Linked DNA regions of Rattus norvegicus. The protein of the gene in region 1 interacts with the protein of each later gene in a pairwise test. Links are inferred from orthologs where the notes say so. Each region holds a gene or a part of one and is shown in the gene's direction. Other genes may lie near its edges.

Region 1 (5,280 bases):
CCAGGCCAAGTAAATACGTTCATCTGTTGCAGTGCTTTTTCTGAGACTGTTCCATAGGCTCAGCTGTTTCAATACATGGCTCCCATTAGCAGTCCTCCTTGGGTAGGTTTGGGGTGTGTATCCAAAGGTCAATGAGGGCAGAATTTGAAGTTTCAAGAGCTGCATGCTACTTCTTTTGCTCTATTTCTGGCTTGGGGCCTAGACGTGAGGTCTCAGCTTACTGCTTCAGCCACCATGCCTGCCTGCCACCATACTTGCCTGCTATGATGGGAATGTACTCTTACACCTCGAATTTTAAGTTCTTCCCTCTATAGGTTGCCTTGGACATGGTCTTTTTTTTTACAGCAATGGAAAACTAATACATAAGCTTTTTCTTTAATTTGCCTTTATATCTGTGAACCTAGCAATGGGAACTCTTCTGTATAGCTTACAGTTGATCTTTTCTTATTTAAGTATAGTGTGTACCTCTGAAGCTGTGTTTATTTATACAAATACCTAAATATTTCCCCTATACATAATCCACACAAAATTCTAGAGAAATGTAAATACTGAGGTTATGCCTGTTCCTAAGCATGCAAGAAATTTTAAATTCTGTTTCTTCCAGAATGTAGGCAACATGTATTTTTCATAAATCAATAACACATTTTAAAGCAAATGTTACTTTTTATTAATATAAAGAAAGGGTAGAAGGAACCACACTAGGGCAGAGGCAAGTGCTTATGGTTGATAAAGCAATTTATATAGTTAGGTTGAGACTAAAATGAAAGGATAATGATATGTTCTAAGAAATGTCATTTACTAAATGACATCTGACAGAAGGGCTAGAAATAGAGGCGGGTGGAGTATAGGCGAGGGAACCTAAGATGATGGGTGGATGGCAGTGCCATGTACTAAGAGACTAGGGCTAAGAAGATAAAAGGTTTCATTCAGGACTTCGGTGGCTACAAACCCCAAAGATTCCAGCAAATCACAAGGTGCCTATTAGAGTCATGTCAGATAACACTAAAGATCTGCTGGTCATAACATGTAAAGAGTCTCATAAGGAACACTGGAATTCACAGAAAAACACGGAACCAAGAATAAACCGCCAGGAAAAAAAAGAGGAAACCGGAAGTCTAACTTAGGTGAGAGGAAACCGAAGTCTAACTTAGGGAAAGTAAGGAAGCAGGTTTCAAGAACAGGCCTAGCCAGAACTTCCTGTAGAATCTGACAGTGCTCTCAGAGATTCTACTCAACGTATTGCATGACCCTAAAGATTTTCTTCTTCCTTCTGCTGGAGCAGTTCAAGTAAAAAATAAATTGAGGGGATCAGTGAGGTTGAATCAGACTGAAAACTATCCTTTTGAAAAGTGCATGGGTAAATCCAGAAGTCAGTTGCCTCATAACTTGATGGGGAGAGGCACTGTGACATCACCAAGATGGATTCCTTTCTTATAAGTGGAAGAAAATGCCAGTTTAGCAGTACTCGATTCTATCACCAGTGAAAGGCAGATACACATTTGCTGATCAGATTTTGTTCTTGCTAATCCTAATGTTTTGTCTTCATGTGACAAATCCATGTGAATAAAAAAAGCAGTTAATTGGCCCCATATTTCCTGTCCCCAGTCCCCAGTCCTTTGGTTATATTTAGCTGAGTCTGATTTCGAGAAATATTTACATGTGCCTTTATGGCTTAAAGCAACAAACATGTAAGTGTGGTTGGGAAACAATATGGGGATGTGACAGACAGAGCATTTCTTCTTTTCTCCAACCTTCTAAACTGAAAGAATGGTCTCGAATGGAAATTCTAAGAACAGTTCCCATTTGTCATATAGGTCAGCGTGACCCACTGAGAATTCTTGGGATGGATTAGTTCAAAAAACAAACCTCTCTCCTGACATTATCTGACTTCTCTGGACACTTCATATTTTGAGGATCTCAAGAAACCAGCTGAGCTCACATGAAGTCACACAGTGTGGATCATGACATAACAATCAGAAGGTCCGCCAGGGCGCCCAGGCAGAGGTCCAACCACACTGACAGTTCAGAAAGCAGGTAACTATCCTGAGTTATTTTATTCAAATCCAACACTCAAGAGTTCTCACATTTCCCAATAAAGAACTGATCGCGGCAAGAAAGAACATCTCATCTGCTGCTCTACAAAGAACTCCAAAGGTAAGAGTTCTCCTCATCCCTCCCGAACAGCTCAACAGACTAGATCTGCACTTCAGTTGTTTCCCACCAAAAGGAGGAGTTTCATAGCTACCAGAAAACAAAACCAAAAATGGATCGATTAAGGAAATACAAAATACATATTTTCGGAGAACACTTTGTTTACAATCATGACCTTAATTGAACTTAGTCAGTGGAAATTCTCAAGGGTGTGTGTGTCTGCATAAATGTTCTATATTTTAAACTTTGTGGCTTTGCCAGATACTTCAGATGCTAACACTAGTCAAATTTCCCTTTAAGGATATTCTGAAGGGAACTTTTTCCTTGTGATTTTAAGTAGAATGGACCACGGGTGGTTTTTGGCTTAGGAGGAGTCTTGGGTACGTGTCACAGAGTTGTAGGAGAGAATTTATTTTTTCCTACAAAATTGAAAGGCTGCAAGGAGCAGCCCTCAAGTAATGCTGACAAGAACTCTGTTCATTCTGGAGTCGACCTGTCTGTGATTGAGAAGGGAACCCACCATCTGTTCTCCTAGACTGTAAAGTAAAAGGAAAAAGCAGCTGAAGAAAGAGTGAGTTTTCTCCCCGCTGCTTCCTTTATGTTTGGTTATATGGCATTTTTTTTTGGCTTTTAAAATTTAAGAATGAGAGTTTTACAAACTTTCCAGAAAATTCGTAATATAAACTTTTGCTTGGAGGATGTGTGCAAACCGTGAACTCTTAGCAATAAGAGCCGATTGGTACTTCTTTCTTCTTTCTGGGTTTTACAGATTTCTCATTTTGATGAAACTCATGGATGCAGCACAGTGGCAGATAACTGGAATTGCCTCTCTGGGTTTGTGATCTTCCTTAATACATGGACATGCTTATTTTCATAAGAGGGGGGAAGGGGAAATAGTCCAAGTCTTTATTCTGTATAATTTATTTGAGTGAATAACGTTATTGTGGGGATGTTTCATGACTGAATTTCTTATACAGAACATGTTAAAGTGTTTAAGTACAGAACCCCATGTTAAAGCCTTTGTGTAAATAAGGTAACCAGAAGCCTGTTTTCTAGAAGAATCTTAATTCTCTCCAAAAGTGGGCATTGAGCAATTTCCTAATCTGTTCCAAAGGACAGAAGTAAAATGACTCCGTGTCCCACCCACATAAGTAAGTATATGAAGCCCTGCATCTGAAGTGCTATTTTTTGACATTAAGATTCCATTATTTAGGCAAAATGTGCTCGTCTCTCTCCATTTTCAGTCATACTTCTTTGGTACCTGCCATCCATTAGAAGGCAAACTCAGCATGCTGACTGTTTTGGAGTATAGAAATGTGGGAGCTTAAAACATCAATAAAATGTGTAATTCTTGCACCTATAATGAAAGAAAAAGCATTGAGTGGCTTTGGCCACTATTTCAGATTTACAACACTGTCATGTGTAAATCCTTGCAAACTTAACACAAATCGCAGACAAGATATTTCTAAGGATGTATGTTAAGATAAATGCCTGAAATCACAAGCCAAATCGCTTGATGGAGAAGGTATACTCACGTCTGCTTTCTGGTTCTATAGATGTCTCATGCTGACATTAGCTGAATGCCAGTTCTGTCTAATGAAATGGTACCTCATTGATAAAATTTCCTCTCATTCCTGACATGGTTGCTCACAGCAGTATTTTGAGTAAAGACTTAATTTGGATTAGGCAAACCTAAAGTATTTTCTACTTATTATACTGAAAGTATGTGTTTTTATAGAACATTTTAGGAAAGCGTTGATTATTTTGATGGTTTTCAATACAGGCAGCATGGAATCAGCTATCAGTTAAACTAAGCTTGCATTTCATTGCTCTTATAAATATCATATGCCTGTCTGCTACTTGGGTAACCACTGGAAGGACCTTTACAGAGGATAGGGAGTGAATGAGGAATGTTTCCCTCAAAGTACCTCGAATCCTCTTAAAATTATCAGCTCAGAAGTGTACGCACTACCCAATCAGATCACAGTGAGCTTATTTGTGACTTACGGACTCTTCTCAGAATAACAATAATGAATTGGATGCTGTGGGGGCATCCAGGGCAAAGCTGCTAGAGATCCTGACTGGGACAACATAAGACCCCTTCCAAATAATATGCCCTGGTAACTTACGTTATTTCCATCAGTTGCCTCTTTGGCCCCAGCTGTACATCTCCCTTTGTTTGTCTGATGCATTCTCAAACCTCATACAAGCCAACTAATTTCTTCCCTTTGCTTCAAATAGCATGTTTCTCAGGTATACTCCTTTAAAAAGATATCATGATCCACCTCGTGACTCAGTCCAGACACAGGATAGAATCCTTTTTGCTTCTCTTACTCTCATCTTTTTTCACTTGTTAACATTAGCCCTTCAACAAACCCCTCTGCCTCTAGCAGAATGAATAACTCCCCCCACCTTACCCCCAACTCCGTCAACTTCTTGTTGAGTCCTCATGAGCCCAATCCCCACTCATGACAGTTTTGCATTCAAAGTAGGTTCTGGGGATGCTAACATTATTAGTCTACAGGCCTCACTGAAGGGCAAGGATAACTCTTGGACTGGATGGCTGGTGCTCAAAGAGCACCTCTGGTGGTCCTCAGCGCTAGACGTTAAAAAGAGATGAACATCTTAACCAGGTTTTTCTGCAGTGCTGCACTGGCATAATCTAGTTGATGAGTAGATGAGTTGTTAATACATGAATGAACAGACTATAGGTAGATATAAAGTCCTGTGTCTATAAAAAGAAAGATTTAATACTCTTGTCAGAAGTGTTAGCACTCTTAAAAAATGTTAGCAATCCTATACTGACATGCAATTCAGTTGATGCTACTATGGGCAGAGGGTTAAATTCCTGCCAGTATAGAACTAATAATGCTTCTAATATGTGCATGTTCTCTACACATAAAGGTTAACATTTCTTTAGCAGCTATGTGATGTAACTGTCACTTGGGAAAATGTAAATGCAGTTGACACTAGGGTGCTATGCAGTCTAAATTAAGATTCTGTTTTTAAAGCGATTTCTAGTTCTACAATTAAATTACACATGCTTGTTTATTCCGGGAACATTTTTATAATTATACTGTGACAGAAGCTTCTAACCTTTGATCAAAAACTTTTCTAATTTGAACAGCT
Region 2 (5,191 bases), about 18 Mb from region 1:
AACTATGCTCCTTTCCCTAGGGCATACTGAGGCCTGGAACATTTTTTATCCTGACTCCTTTAGTGTTCCCACTCTGATCTTTGTAGAAAACTAAAGCCTGAAATTATAGTTAGACAGAACAAAGGAGGGCTGCTGAGAATTATTCCTAAGATATTCTGTCTTTCTGTCTTCCTAGTGAGCTTTGCTGAGGCAAATACATTCTCATATTGATTCTTCACTTGTGTTTAGGGCTTTGAGACTTTAAAATCCTGCTCCTTCATACAGGGAATTCAATCTTAGGGAGCTGGTTTGTTTTATTTTTTTTAAGAGTTTCCTACTCATTAGAGGTAAGGAGAAAGAATCCTAGAGGACTGTTGTTTGCTTGTATTACTTGTAGAACCCAGAGAGGAAGTAGGGAGGGGGAGGGGAGGGCTCTTTTTACAGTGCAGCAATAAACGAATGGTCCTTGGGGCTCATCGCATAGGCAAAGCACAGGCCTTTACTTCTTTTGGTTCTGCTGTTTGTTCCATTTCTGTGACTGAGAAAAGGCCTGAGTTGGTGACAACCTGTCTGACCCACTGATAAGTTCAGAGGACAAGGTAGACAAGGCTACCCATCTTCTCAGGTTATCTCCAGAGCAGTCCCTCTAAAAAGTGTCTATGAATGTCCAGGCCTTGCAAAAATTCCACCCCGATTATTTACAGAGCTAAGGACAAAGGTTAGGGATGCTTATTCTGCTACTGCTTAATTTGGCTGGCTCTGGGCTGGGCCTGGGGCCCAGTGACTCAAGGGGAGCTTGGTGAGTTTCGAGGGAGCTGTGAGTCATGAAGACTAACTTGGTCTCCAGACTGACTCTGGGCAGAAGGCCTTTTAACTCACTGCTGAGGATACTCTGCTTCCTTGGAGCAGAGGTCTGTTAGCAAAGAGTGCTCCAAAGCCTGATCCGTGAAGAGTTTTGAGCCCAACGGATGAGGCCTGAATCCCTGAAATTTAAATGTATTTTTATCTCAGGAGCCTCCTGGGGTCTCCAAACAAAGGCAAAAGGGAGGGGGGTGCGAATGCCATCTTTCAGTATGGATGGAGATACGGTACGACTTTAGGTCTTTTTTTGCCTGCTTTTGTAGAAAGCTTACTAGATAGCAACAACGCTCTTGGAGCTCTATTTCGGGATGGGGTGGGGGGATGAATGGGCTTGGGGTTATGTGTGGTTGTGTTTGGTATGAGTTGGAGATTGTTGAACTGTATCTGTGAAAGCCCTGGAGCTTCCTATTAATTTACTTAAGAACAGGAAGTGTGGAGGAGAAAGATTTGTTGAGCGCTGAGAGGATGAAGTCTGAATGAGGTTAAATGACAGGGCAGAGAATTGCTTAGGACTTGGACAGAAAAAAGGGTTAAGGAGGTGGGCGGGGCGACATTGGGTAGGCCTGCCCTTATGTGGACCAATAGGCGTGCGCCCCTTGGAGAGGGCGTGACTCACGCTTGAGGTTGCTGAGAGGCTGGCCTCCACTGGACCAATGAACATAGTTGTTGCCCTTGGAGGGTGTGGTCTGAGGGGGGCGTGGCAGCCGTGGTCGCAGTGCTGGGGGTGGCTGGGCGCTGGGCGGGGCGGGCGGCCCCATCAGCTGGTAGGAAATGGCCTGTGAGTCAGAGGGGCAGCTGAGTCTGCGGCGAGGAGCCGGGGCGGCCCCGGGGAGGGACCGTCGCAGGGAGGGGTGCAACAGCAGCTAGAGGGGCTGCGTACGCCAGAGCCCGCTAGTGTTGCACACGAAGCTGATCAGAGAAGAGCCAAGCAGAGCAAGGCTCTCAGCCTAAGCCACCCTTTGTCTGGGTTGGGGGCCCGTAGTAGGGGGGACTGGTTATCCGAGGGGAGGGACAGGGATCGGAACGGGGACGGGACGGAAGGGCCCGGAGCAGCGGCCACCGCGGCGGAGCCAATTTGGGAGTGGGGTGAGTGTGTACTAGGTGGAAGGATCAGATCTCCAAAACCTCTGCACGGTATGGGGCCTGTCCCAGCCTGTGAAGAAGGGATGAGAACCGACCTGGGAGGCTGAGCAGGGGGTGGGGGGGAAATCGTCCAGGACAAGGAGTCCAGGAGCCAAGGTGAGTCTCCGTGTCTGAGTTTGGAGGGGTCCCTGAGGTCTGCTCCCTCTCTATTAAGGGTGAAGGGCTCTAGGCCAGGAGTCAGAGGGAGGGAAGGTGAAAAGCAGAGATTGACCTTTCTACTCACAGCAGTGGTCTTGGGAACAGTCACCTTAGCGTGTATAGACATGTATGAGGACAAAATGTACAGCAGTGAGCAGCGGAACTCTGCCTAGGATAAGAGTGGAAAACACATGGATAGGAATTCTTCCCCCACCTCGTTAGGGTAAAAATGGGTGTCTTGAAACTGAAGGGAAGGATAGAATGAGCCTAGGTGTTCTTCCTGTACCACAACCTCTCCCACCTCCCAAGTCTAACAAGTATCTGAGGGTACAGACCTCATGGTATTCTGGGACTTGTTGTTTTTGCTGACCTTGCTCTCGGCATGTTGGGAGCTGTAGTCCTTGGCAGCCACAGTCTGGCACAGCTGTTTAATGCCAGCTGCTGCCCATCCCCAGTGTAGAGGGCGAGGTTTGGCTTATACTGGCCTGTCCCCTCTCCCTGCAGTCCTTCCCCATGAGTCAGCTTGAAGCTGGGTGGCAGAGGAGTGAGTCTTAGAGCGTCTCTGGACAGGGAGGGAACTAATAGGGCTCTGGATTAATGAGCAGATGCCAGGCATGCTGGGGTCAAGTAGGGCATCATGTCATCACCTGGCTTCCTTGAGGCAAGAGCTCAGGAGGGCAACTGAGATGACCTGGAAATTGGGGTGCTCAAGAAAACGCCCTTCTTGAACTTTAAAGCCTGGGTGGAGAACAGGCAGGGAAGAAATGAGAACAGGTTATACTCTCATGACACTGCCACTACTGACGTTCTCCACTTTCTAGCCATCTCACCCACGGGAAGGACCAGAATATTCTTAGGATCTCATTCAAAGGGGGACCTGGCGAAATGGCAAAGTATGGCCTGAAAGGAAGGCAACAGTTGATGTGGGAGAGTTTCTCAGTCCCTAAGTGTAAATGTCACCTTTCTCTCCGTCTCCTACAACCACATGAGCTGCTGCAGTTTCCCCCTGTACAATTAATCTCTCCACTCTTCACCCGTAGTGTTTCTCTACACTGTCAGGACTGCTGACCAAATCACTAGTGCTAGTATTTAGGCTTTTTTGAATTCTGATGTGTGTTTCTCCTGAGCTTGAAATGGGACTGGGGAAGAAACACAGACCCATCCTCAGGTGTGACATAATCAGAAGTAAACGGAAGTATTACCGGGTTACAGAAAGTAGTTAGTGGCACTGTCTTATGGAAGTCTGAGATGAGAGATCTTTTGGAGGGGAATGACTTTGAGATATCCGTGAAAGAGGGGTGGGAAAAGGTATTTTGTTATATTTGTTGGGCTTGGTTCTAGTTTTTGTTTTGTTTTGTTTTGTTTTCTGGAGACAGGTTTTTCACTGGGCTGGCTTTGAACTCAGAGATTTGCCTGGCTGTGCCTCCAGAGTGTGTGAACTAGCGTGTACTACCACCCTTCAGCTTCTTTGTTGGTTTTGTGTTTTGTCTGAGATAGGATGTCTTGTAGCCCCGTCTAACCGTCTGACCTTAACTGTCTGGTGGAGTGTGAAGGCCGGCTGTAACCTGTTTTTCATTTGTTTCTTTTTGTAATTTTTGTTTTGTTTGATTTTGACAGAGGACCTCTCAAAATGTAGCTAGACTGGTTTAGATCCTCCTGCCTCAGCCTCTAGCATTATGATAAAGGGCATTATGGTTGGTATTCCTCACAGACTGCTGACCAAATAAGGATGACAGTGGGGACTGTTGGCCTTCAACTTGACAGTCTGGTCACTGAAATATTGGCTAATGGTCTGTGAAGACCATTTTTGTGCCATGGCAACAAAGAAATGCTTTAGGTTTTTTTGAGTACTGGTTGTGCCTGAGGGGGAGGGGCATGGGGAGATACTCCAGTTGTTTCTAGTTGACTGCTTGCTGCTTCCTTATCTCTGGTTTGCAGGGCCTGGGGGGAGGGGTGGGAACTATAAAGTGCCTTCTGACAGTTCTCTCCTTCCATCCCTTGTTTTTGGTTAGATTTCTTTTTTTTTTTTTAAAGATTTATTTATTTATTATATATAAGTACACTGTAGCTGTCTTCAGATACACCAGAAGAGGGCATCGGATCTCTTTACAGATGGTTGTGAGCCACCATGTGGTTGCTGGGAATTGAACTCATGACCTCTGGAAGAGCAGTCGGGTGCTCTTAACCGCTGAGCCATCTCTCCAGCCCTAGATTTCTTTTTTTGTTTTTTTTTGTTTTTCTTTTTTGGGGGTGGAGGGGTTAGGGGGTGAAGGTAACAGGGTTTCTCTGTATAGCCCTGGCCATCCTGAAACTCTCTCTGTAGACCAGGCTGGCCTTGAACTCAAAGAGACCGGCCTGCCTCTACCTTCCCAGTCCTGGGATTAGAGGTGAGCACCACCAATCCCAGCACCACCACTGCCCCGCTTTGGATTTCTTTTCTCTGTTAAAAAGACAGATTTCTGGGGAAAGTTAGTATTTTAAGTGTGAAGGGCTGGCCTGGAGCTGACTTGGGGTTTGTAGTTGTGTGATGGGGTGTGCCTATCTGCATGACCTCTGCTCTTAGCACTCTGGAGTCGCACTTGCCCCTTTGTATAGACATATGGAGATGAGTTGTGTAATTGGAGGGCCTTGAGTAAGAGAAGAACACTGTTACCCTGTCCACCTACTAGCTGACATGGAATCTCTCTGATCTTTGAGGCATCTTACCCCTCCCCCCCTCCCCCACCCCACTATGCAGAGCCACTTCCCAAGATGGAGGCCTTGACAAGTGGTTCATCTTGCCTCTACTCATTTCTCACATCCTTAAGACAGTCAGCCAAGACTTGCTTCTGTGTTGAGTCCTCAGGTAGCCCAATTCTTATGCATGTGCCCTAGGTCTCCAGCCTGCCCCTTCTATTCCTGAAGAGTTTATCCCAAAGCGGGAAGATATCTTGGTGTATGTGCCGATATAGTAGCCCATATTAGTGTTGGGGGGATCTTACCATTGGCTGCAGGGATCCCAGCTTATATTTCCTCTTTTCCCTCAGGGTCCAACTGAGCCCAGGAGCTGCGCGGAATGGTGGCAGTCACC
Region 3 (5,041 bases), on another chromosome or scaffold:
AAAAATTTTCCTTTTTTTTTTTTTTTCTTTTTTTTCGGAGCTGGGGACTGAACCCAGGGCCTTGCGCTTGCTAGGCAAGCGCTCTACCGCTCTACCACTGAGCTAAATCCCCAACCCCGCAAAAAAATTTCCTGAGGTAGTTTTAGCAAACAGGTTGTACAAGGAGGTCACACGGGACTGTGAGAGGGTCCGTGTGATGTATCTGCCCTGTGTGGTATGGGCCCATTGAGGAGTCTGCATCCTAGAGTCCCAGGTCAGAGGTCACAAGGAAGATATGCAAGAGAGAGATTCACTACTCAGAGGCTCTATCCATGGTGATGGAACCTGTTCCCAGAAGAAAAATTGACCTTTCAACGGATTTTTTTTTCTCTCTCCGCATCTCCCCACCCCCCTCCGGTCCCCACTTGCATTCAACATTAAAATTCTAAGACTTCACACAGATGCCCAAAGCCCGCCCTTCTGGCTCCAGCTGCTGCCTCTCCCAGCAATTTCTGTCTCTTCGGACTTCATCCTCATCTCTGTAAATGATAGGTCTCATTTTAACAGCACAGTTCTAGGTTGAAATCTTCAAGACACTCCTGAGGAAAAGTAATCCCTTGACAGAGCACAATGGTTTAGAAGGGCTGTCCCTAGGTCGCCCAGCTGGTAGCTGCACTGAGTCATGGCTTTATTATCGGCACGGGGAGGGGACAGGAAACTTAAAGTATTTTCTTTTTAAGTTAAAATAGCTCCTGGATCCTGGTTTGTGGGAATGCTCACTACGAACATGCAGAAGGAGCCAGCCTGGAAAGGAATATGGACAACAGACTAGGTTCAGAGACCGCCATTAGTGGCATTTCTGGGAACAAATGCACATCGATGCTTCATAGCTCTTATTGCATGATAATGTAAGCATGTCACATATAATCTCTATTACAGTGACAGTGTCCCCGAGACCTGCTTATCCTTAAGGAAGTCAGGCAACTTGCGAGACGATGCCACTGAATGAGTCCGGAACGTCCGAGATTGATCCAGGCCTAGTAGGTAGGACCAGTTTGGGAGCGTACAGCCCATTTGAGCTGCTGTCACTACAAGTCCCAGCAGTCCTCAGGGCAGGGAAGGCATGTGGCTACCAGAATCAGGATGGACTACAAATCCCAGCAGGCAAGTCACAGTCGCTGAGACTACCAGTCCCAGAATGCATCGTGTCCTACACAGCGTACTCTGGGATTTGTAGTCATCAGGGCAGCGTTAGTGTCCGTTCACACCCGTCAAAGAGGACGTACATTCCTCAGATTGCCCACTGGAGTATTTACTGCTTTAGCAAGTAACACAGACATGAGATGGGGAAGTAAGGGCCTATTGAGTCAACTCTTGGTACACGGGAGGACAACTGCGCATGTTCACTGGAGTCCGTCGGCGAAAGCGCGCGCAAGAGGCGCCCAGCGCAGGCTCCGCCCCCTGCCCGACTGGCCCCTCCCTGGAGCCCCGAGCTCAGGGAGCCTGCGCTGAGGGCGCGGCGCAGGCTGTGGGGAGGTGCTCGCAGCGCCTGCGCAGAGCTGCTGCTTCTCTCGCGAGGACGGACGCCATTATCGCATCTCCCCGACAAACACCACGAGAATTCCGCAGCCCACACGGTAATTGCAGCTCCCGCAGCCGGTCGCGCCTCCACTCCCCCTTCCCGCGGGGCGAGAGCGAGAGCGAGAGCGAGATCTCCGTCCGCCCCCGCCCCGCCCCGCCGCCAACCGTTGCCAACGGCCGCGGGCCGCACGCCGGGCTGGGCGGGGGCCAGCGGGCCGCGGAATGTCCGCGCGCCGCCTCCGCCCGCCGGGGCTGCGGGCTCCCGGCTGGGCGTGTGGGGTCCGGGGAGCGAACGAGCGGGCGAGGCCCGACGGCCGCGCTCGCGTTCGGCTCCGGAGCCTCGGCGCCTCCCGGGCCCGCGCCCGGCGCCCCTGTCACGGCCGCCCAGTCTGTCAGTGCAGGGCCTCGCGCGGTGCTCCCGGGTCCTGCGCGCCGCCCTGCCGCCTAGGTGGCCCCATCTCCCGGCAGTTCTTGGCGCTCTGCCCCGGTAGGGTGGCTTCGCCCTGGCTGGCGCATCCGCCTCTGCTCTGCTCTCTGTTTACATCGGGGCTGATAACTGGTGCTCGCTTCCCCACCTAGCGTCATGTCCCCGTCCCGCACAGCCTTGCTTTTATCCCTTGTTGTTTGTAGTGGCCTTTGTTTCTCTGCTCCTGGTGACAATGTAACTTCTCGAAGATAGTGTTAAATCTTCGACTTCACTCCACCTCCTCTCTGCCTTTTTCTAATCTGGGGTAGTGACTTTTAGGCCCGTCCAGGTAGGTCCAGCTGTCTTTCTTTGCACGCCTGGTTAGTTCAGGACACAGTGTTTCAGTCTGCTTTCTTCTCAGTCCTTAGGGAGCTTCTGCCAAGTACTTCCTTTCTGGTAACTGTTTCCTCCCTGGAAGGTTTTAAGGTCTCCTTGGCATTGGAACAGTTTTACAGTTCACAGGTATGCTCAGTAGGTGTGTCCTTGAGCTCTGGGAGATTTTCCCAAGAGAATTTGTCCCCCCACCCCGATTTTCTTTTTTCAGGGATTCCTGCCATGTGCGACACACATTTGGGTACACTACTTGAGTTTCTTCATCTTTCTATTCCAGGAAAGAGCTTCAGTTTATCTTTAAGCCCTAATATTTTAAGTTTTGTTCTGTGCATTGGCCCAGGACTTTAATGCCAGCACTTAGGAGACAGAGGCAGGTGGATCTTTGCAAGTTTGAGGCCAACCTCGTTTACATAGTGAGACCCAATGGTGGGGGAGGGGGAGTGGTGTATCCATAATCAAAATTGAAGTTTCTGGGGTTGGGGATTTAGCTCAGTGGTAGAGTGCTTGCTAGGGTTCGGTCCCCAGCTCCGAGAAAAAAAAAAAAAAAAGACAAAATTGAAGTTTCTGAGCAGAGCGCAATGGCACACACTTTTAGTCCCAGCACTTGGGAGGCAAATGCAGGCTGATCTCTTAAGTCTGAGACCAGCCTGGTCTACAGACTGAGTTCACAGCCAGAGCTACACAGAGAAAAGCGAAACAACAAAAAAAAAAAAAATTTTTTTTTCCTGAATGTATTTGTTTTTTTCCTTTTATTCAGTAGTTTGTTTCATCAATACGTTTTCTCCTTTGGGCTGAGGAAACTATTAGGGGTTCTTTTCAGTTCTCTGATTTCTTATTTAGTATCACTTTTGAGGAGTGGATGGTAAGTGTTAGCTTCTTGCTTTGGATGGCAGGGCCTCCACTAGTGCTAATTATAATTGCTTAAACTTAGACCTTAAGGTAAGAGGAAACTGGCAGGGGACCCAGGGTCTGTGGAGAAGGTTTTTAAAATGGTTTTTTCCCACTAGTATCTGCCAGAGCTTCTTACCTAGAGACTTGGAGGAGCACATAGCAGACACCTTCTATCTGGGCTGTTTATCTGTCTTCAAGGGTCTCCCTTTGCTCGGAAGCTGCTGTGCTTGGCTCTGAGGTGGCTGTGGAGACTGCCCCTGATGAGGCCGGGAGCCCCACTCCTGTGTTCCCCAAGCTGTCTAGATGAGCTCCTCTGTCAGGAACTGAAGGCTTGCTGTGTACTGTTTTCTTGTGAGTTTATTGTACTCTCGGAAGTATTTTGATGGGGTAAGCGGAGATTGTTTTCAAGGCCACTTACCTGGAACAGGAATTTAATTTTAGAGCCTGTTGTCTTCAGATAATTTCTCTCCTTACATTTTTGGGTTTTGTAATGGATGTGTGCCAGATCATGGTCTCTGTGGTTGCCTCCAGTTGAATGGATGGTTCTTCCGCTCTGCTATCTTGGTAGGGCACCAGGATGCAGGAGACTGGTCAGACACTGAGATTAGGCCCTTCAGTTTAGCTGCTTCACTGTCTAGTTGGGTTAGTGCAAGCAGCTAGCATATCATGGTTCACTGATCAGAGGTGAGCAGTGCAGTGTGTGCTGTACCCATAGCACAGGGATAGCAAGGCCAAGCATTGGGCTGGTACACTTGCAAGTTTTGCTTAGTGAAGTAGGCTGCATCCGCCAGGGCCTTGCAGCAGAGTCCACAGCAACCCACACACTGGTGAGCACTTAGCCCACCTGTGATTAAGGATTTCAGAGAGACTACAGCTGCCTTCCTCTTCCCCTTCATCATATCTAACAGCAGGGCTACCCAGATTACAGACCTTACACCCACTGACATCTTTTGTTTGCTTTGTTTCAGGATCTAATTCCCGACTCCTCACTGTAGTTGTCATGTCTTCTCCAGTCTGCTCTTTCCATTATCCCAAAGCATTCAGTGTTTATAAGTCTTGGCAGGAAAAAGTGCTCTCTCTGGAAAAAGCCCTGCAGATACTCTAGCGTCTGACTGATGATTGAGGCCAGTGTGCTCAACAGAGACACTGATATCAAATACCCCAAGAGATAAACTAAGACATCAGTTTTCTGCTAGAAATGCAGTGTGTTTGTGGGAAGGTTAGATGCACCTGGGGGGGGGGGGTGTTAACTGGAACCCTGCCCTGTGTCTCTTCAGGTAAGGGGCTCAGAATCTCCATGTGGTCAGGGCATCCGAGGGAAATAGTGAATTTGCAACAGTGGTTTTACTACTGCTGCCCCATGCAGCTTAGCCTGTTTTCTCAGAATGAGCTATGCTATCTATGGAAACTTAAGGTGTTAAATGAATTCCATGATGCAAGGTCCACTGTAAAAGTACCATATAACTCAAAGGGCCACCTCAATCATTTAAATCCGGAAGGACATTTTCCCTGGGAGGGGGAAGACTTGGACATTTGGATGCATTGAGGCCCCCACCCAACAAGAATGTGACCCTGAGGTTAGGGCTGTGGTGGCCAATGTTACTGTCTTCTCTTCATAAAATCCCTCCCAGGGAGCTGGTGAGCCACATTGCGTCTAACCCTCCTCCTGCGCTGTTGGGAGGAGGGACAAGGAACCTGGAGAGCAGGGTGGGCGGAGCCATGGCAGTTGCCTGCTTAGGCTGCCCCAGAGTTGCGGTAGAAGCATGCAGTGAGACCTGCCTGCCTTGAAAT
Region 4 (4,482 bases), on another chromosome or scaffold:
GTGTTTGTGTAGAGTATCCATGACCAGAAATGTTATATTTGTAGATGAATATATTTTGCATATGTGTGTGTATATATGTACACACATGCCTATCTATATGCATTCAAGATTAGATAATTCCTTTTATTAAAATCAGAAATGAACTTTTAGTATGTATTTTAATTGGTAAACAATTTTTATCCATTTATTTTGAACAACATTTTGTTTTCAAGTGTGTATACCTTGTGGTATGACTAAATTGGCTAATTAAAATATGTATTTTATATCATCTTTTCATGCTGGAAACACTTTAAATATGCTAATTCTACACAAACTTTTAGAATTTTCAAGAGGAAAATATACCAATCTTCCTTTTTTCTCCTCTTCTTTCTTGGCAATTTTCTAGAGAAGATTTTTTGAAGCTCAAGCTGGCTTCAAGCTCATAGTATATTTAAGAATGTCCTTGAATTTTATGTGCTTCTGTTTCTGCCTTCAAATGTTGGGGTTAGAGGATTTCACCACTATACCGGGTTTTATGTGATATTGGGGATCAAATATACGGCGTTGTACATGATGAAAATACTCTCTCAACTGGGCCACCTCCCCACCACCGTGCTGTTCCTACCTGGACTCACCACGTAGCATGAAGGAGCTACATGTCGTTTTCATGCTTGATCTTCTTAGTTTTTTTCCCCCATGTCAAAGTCTCATGTAACATGAAGTTTTGTGAACCTACTTCCCCTAAACCTTAGAGCTAATGACTAAATATATTGACAGAAGACATGTTTAGAGATTTGTCATTTTAGTTTTCTCATTTTCTTTAGTTGTCATATCATTGCATTGTTCCTGGTTTTAAAAGTGAAATCATGCTGTAAATTCTGATACTTTTATTTTTACCACTCTTATCCATCCATCCATCCATCCATCCATCCATCCATCCATCCATCCATCCACTCACCCACCCACTCACCCATCCACTCACTCACTCACCAGTCTATCTTCTATGTGGATGTGTCTTTGGGTGCATTCCATAATGTCTACTTGTAGGTTAGAGGACAACTAGTGGGAATTTGTTCTCTGTGTGTTATGTGGGTCTTGGGACTGAACTCAGGTTGTCAGGCATAGTGGCAAGTGCTTTTATTCACTGAGCCATCTTACTGGTTTTTTAAATATAAATTTGTTTTGACTTCAGAATCTTTAAACTCTAATATAAGCCTTATAATATAAATTCTTCTCTTAACAACCCTGGTTTTACTGATTTGTTTATATAAGCATTCTTCTTCGGACCTATCTAATGCACTAACTTTTTTAAAAAATTTACATTTCAAATGTTATCCCCTTTCCCAGTTTCCCATCCATAAATCCCCTATCCCATCTCTCCTTTCCCTGCTTCTATGAGGGTGTTCTGCCACCCACCCCTTCCTGCTTCCCCACCTTCCCCTACCCTGGGGCATTGAGCCTTGGCAGGACCAAGGGCTTCTCCTTCCATTGATGCCCAACAAGGCTATCCTCTGCTACATATGCATGCAGCTGGAGCCATGAGTCTGTCCATGTATACTCTTTGGATGGTGGTTTAGTCCCTGGGAACTCTGGTTGGTTGGTATTGTTATTCTTACGGGGTTGCAAACCCCTTCAAACCCCTTCAGACCTCTTCAGCTCCTTTAATCCTTTCTCTAAGTCCTCCATTCAGGAACCTGTTCTCAGTTCAGTGGTTGGCTGTGAGCATCTGCTTCTGTATCTATCATGCTCTGGCAGAGCCTCTCAGCAGACAGCTATATCAGGCTCCTGTCAGCTTGCACTTCTTGGCATCAGCAATATTGCCTGGGTTTGGTGGCTGTATATGATGCCGTAACTTTTATACCCAGTTTAGGCCAATGATAATGTAGAGAGAGAGCACTAAATTGAGTAGTTTTTCTGCATCTGTTATGGCCTTACTGATATCTGTACTTACAAGAACACATTCAGGTTTGGGGTTTTGGGTCTTAAGTGTTTTATGCATTTCCCTTTCCTGTGAAGCCTTACTTGGTATTCCAAGTACTCTTCTATTGAATTTTTGTAGTTTATTATCCATTCTATTCCTTGTTTTCCTCTCCATACAAACACTAAGCTGAGTTCTATGCACAGACTCTTAATCACCATTTTTGAGTGAAATGAAGACCATACATGTTATGATGCATTTCAGAAAGTCTTGTATTATAGGTAGCAACAATTGCAGAGACAGATGATTCTGCAGACTCAGAAGTAATCGATTCGCATAAACGTAGAGAAATTCTTTCACGAAGACCCTCATATAGGTGAGTTAACTAACTTTCCAACTGGAGTATTTCCACCCAAAAAACCCCACAATAATTATAAAGCCAAGCAATTATTCTTTATAGCTTTTTGTTGTCTCTTTCTATATCCTAATTGCTTATATTTTTATATTATATTTTAGAAAAATACTGAATGAACTTTCCTCTGATGTGCCTGGTATTCCCAAGATTGAAGAAGAAAAATCAGAGGAAGAAGGGACACCACCTAACATTGCTACCATGGCAGTACCAACTAGCATATATCAGACTAGCACGGGGCAATACAGTATGTATGCTACAATTCCATAGACACAGTGCTAGCTTTAAGTCTTCCTATTACAGTGAAGCGGTGTGGGTGTGGGCATCCAAATGTTTCATTAACAACTGTGAATCATTAACAACTGTGTGTCACAGAATAAAAAGTGCATGTTAAAGCAGTAAGATATTTGTACTGACAGCTGAAAAGTCTTTATTGCTGAGTGTGCATGATAAGTGGTTAAAAATTAAAGAAAGGGTTCCTATTTACATGTTTATATTCCTCTCAAGTAACAATTTGAAAAGTTCTTGTTTTTGTTGTCTTTCTGCTATAAATGTCTGTATTTCATTGTCGATGGCATTTGTTGCCAGCGACTTATTATACTTAATCATATAATAAGAGGTAAATATGTTTTCTAAGTTGTGCTTTAAATGTAATTTCATTTCATTACTTTGTTAATTTGTGCTGCAGTTTTTCTAAAAGAACAAAAAATTATTTAACTTTCAAACTGTAGCAATTGGATAGATCATTTTATTTGAACTTTACACACTGGAAGCTCTAATAAACAGATACATTGGCATTTAGACTTGTGCATTTTAATGTATTGTTACTTCTGTGCTTTTTGAAATTCTTACTAAAGCACTAATGATTTTCCCAAGTCAAGCACATTTGACAGACAAGAATAATGCGACCTAGAAAGCAAAGTAGAAAGGAAGAAAGGAAACCAGAGGAAACAACTTCTTGGGTCTTTGGGGATGTATGTAATGTTATATACTGTGTCTAAATAAAGTGCAAAGACTATAATGTAGTCTTACCTGCAAAGTCTCAAGACTTGGCTATTAAACATGTTATCTCCTTTTCTGTATGGAAGATCTTATGTAGGAGTTGTTGTTGTTGTTTGTTTCTTAGAATTTCTCCTGTGGTGATAGATATTTGTAATAGTAAATTAAGTCCTGTTGGTAATTTTGGGTAGCTATTGTCATGACCTGTCAAAGATGGGTATAACTTGTCAATACTCTGCTGGATGCTGAATGCACATGTTCAAAATGAGTGTGAAGAAAATTCCCACAACCTTTTGTTTCTGTCTTGGTTTCTTTGTACTATTGGGACTATGTGGTGAATGTTTTAGGTCTGTAAACCAGGGCTTGCTAGCTTTTGTGCCTCTGTAGTACAGTCTAGGTTCCTGGAGTGCAGACAGCTCCTCAGCTCTGCGTCCCTAGATAGGCTGAGCAGGTCTAGGAGGCTAGAGCCTCTCTACTGATCCTCAGCCTTGAGCAACTTTGCCCATTTACCCAGTGCGCAGTGGGCTGTTCATGCTATTGTTTTCTGTTTGTGCTTTGACAGGGGAAAGTTTGGAAAATACTGCTGAAAGAATGTTAATACAAAGTTTTGGAGAGAGGCTAAGAGGATGTTATCTTGGCATTTCTCTGGCATGGCCTGAGACTACATAGGACTTTTCATGGCGGCAATGATCTATTAACAGGGAACAAGGGAAGTTGATGCTGTGGGTTAATTTGCCTAGATTATTACCACTAAATGTGACATAGTGAAATGAAAGCTAGGAGAATGTTGAAGCTGGAGGGAATGTGGTGAAGGGCTTTGGTGTTTGCTTCTGCTCACTCAGTGATCAGATCAAGAGGCATCTCAGGCTTTAGTCTTGAAGTGGGAATAATTTCAGGGGCCAAACTGTGGGGTATATGTGAAGACAAAAGAAAAGCATAGGTCAAAGTGGGGAGAAAAAGATGTGCAAACACTGGGAGGAGACAAAGGAGTTTGCATTAGTTGAGACGATCTTGTTCATGCTCATTCAGCCTCTCCTTTCAGTGAGCTTCTGTGCCGCAGCTGCAGAGCTCCCAGTGTCTACACTTGACTTTCTAGTCACTTTATGTAGGCTGCAAGGTGGGGAAGAGTCAGAAGTTCCAGGGGTAACGAGGCAACTGTTAGAAATTCAGCAGA

What was found.
Region 2: the proteins of Fhl5 (region 1) and Atosb interact in binary tests that used the Homo sapiens proteins (3 or more experiments, as listed by UniProt). The two-hybrid records come from large-scale screens. The link is inferred for Rattus norvegicus from reciprocal best matches to the Homo sapiens genes FHL5 and ATOSB.
Region 3: the proteins of Fhl5 (region 1) and Banp interact in binary tests that used the Homo sapiens proteins (3 or more experiments, as listed by UniProt). The two-hybrid records come from large-scale screens. The link is inferred for Rattus norvegicus from reciprocal best matches to the Homo sapiens genes FHL5 and BANP.
Region 4: the proteins of Fhl5 (region 1) and Crem interact in a two-hybrid assay, tested with the Homo sapiens proteins (2 studies listed by BioGRID). The link is inferred for Rattus norvegicus from reciprocal best matches to the Homo sapiens genes FHL5 and CREM.

What each region holds. Positions count from the first base shown.
Region 1 is NC_086023.1:43,749,861-43,755,140, reverse strand, and holds the start of Fhl5 (four and a half LIM domains protein 5), read left to right. Parts: upstream 1-2,038; 5' UTR 2,039-2,154; intron 2,155-2,525; exon of another isoform or gene 2,526-2,722; intron 2,723-2,920; 5' UTR 2,921-2,985; intron 2,986-5,280. UniProt on the Homo sapiens protein: May be involved in the regulation of spermatogenesis. Stimulates CREM transcriptional activity in a phosphorylation-independent manner.
Region 2 is NC_086023.1:62,061,071-62,066,261, reverse strand, and holds the start of Atosb (atos homolog protein B), read left to right. Parts: upstream 1-1,648; 5' UTR 1,649-1,926; intron 1,927-1,939; exon of another isoform or gene 1,940-2,079; intron 2,080-4,375; exon of another isoform or gene 4,376-4,966; intron 4,967-5,147; 5' UTR 5,148-5,191. UniProt on the Homo sapiens protein: Transcription regulator that may syncronize transcriptional and translational programs.
Region 3 is NC_086037.1:66,914,927-66,919,967, forward strand, and holds the start of Banp (protein BANP), read left to right. Parts: upstream 1-1,534; 5' UTR 1,535-1,595; exon of another isoform or gene 1,596-1,616; intron 1,617-1,909; exon of another isoform or gene 1,910-2,047; intron 2,048-2,055; exon of another isoform or gene 2,056-2,315; intron 2,316-5,041. UniProt on the Homo sapiens protein: Controls V(D)J recombination during T-cell development by repressing T-cell receptor (TCR) beta enhancer function. Binds to scaffold/matrix attachment region beta (S/MARbeta), an ATC-rich DNA sequence located upstream of the TCR beta enhancer.
Region 4 is NC_086035.1:58,967,885-58,972,366, forward strand, and holds part of Crem (cAMP-responsive element modulator), read left to right. Parts: intron 1-2,178; coding exon 2,179-2,273; intron 2,274-2,413; coding exon 2,414-2,556; intron 2,557-4,482.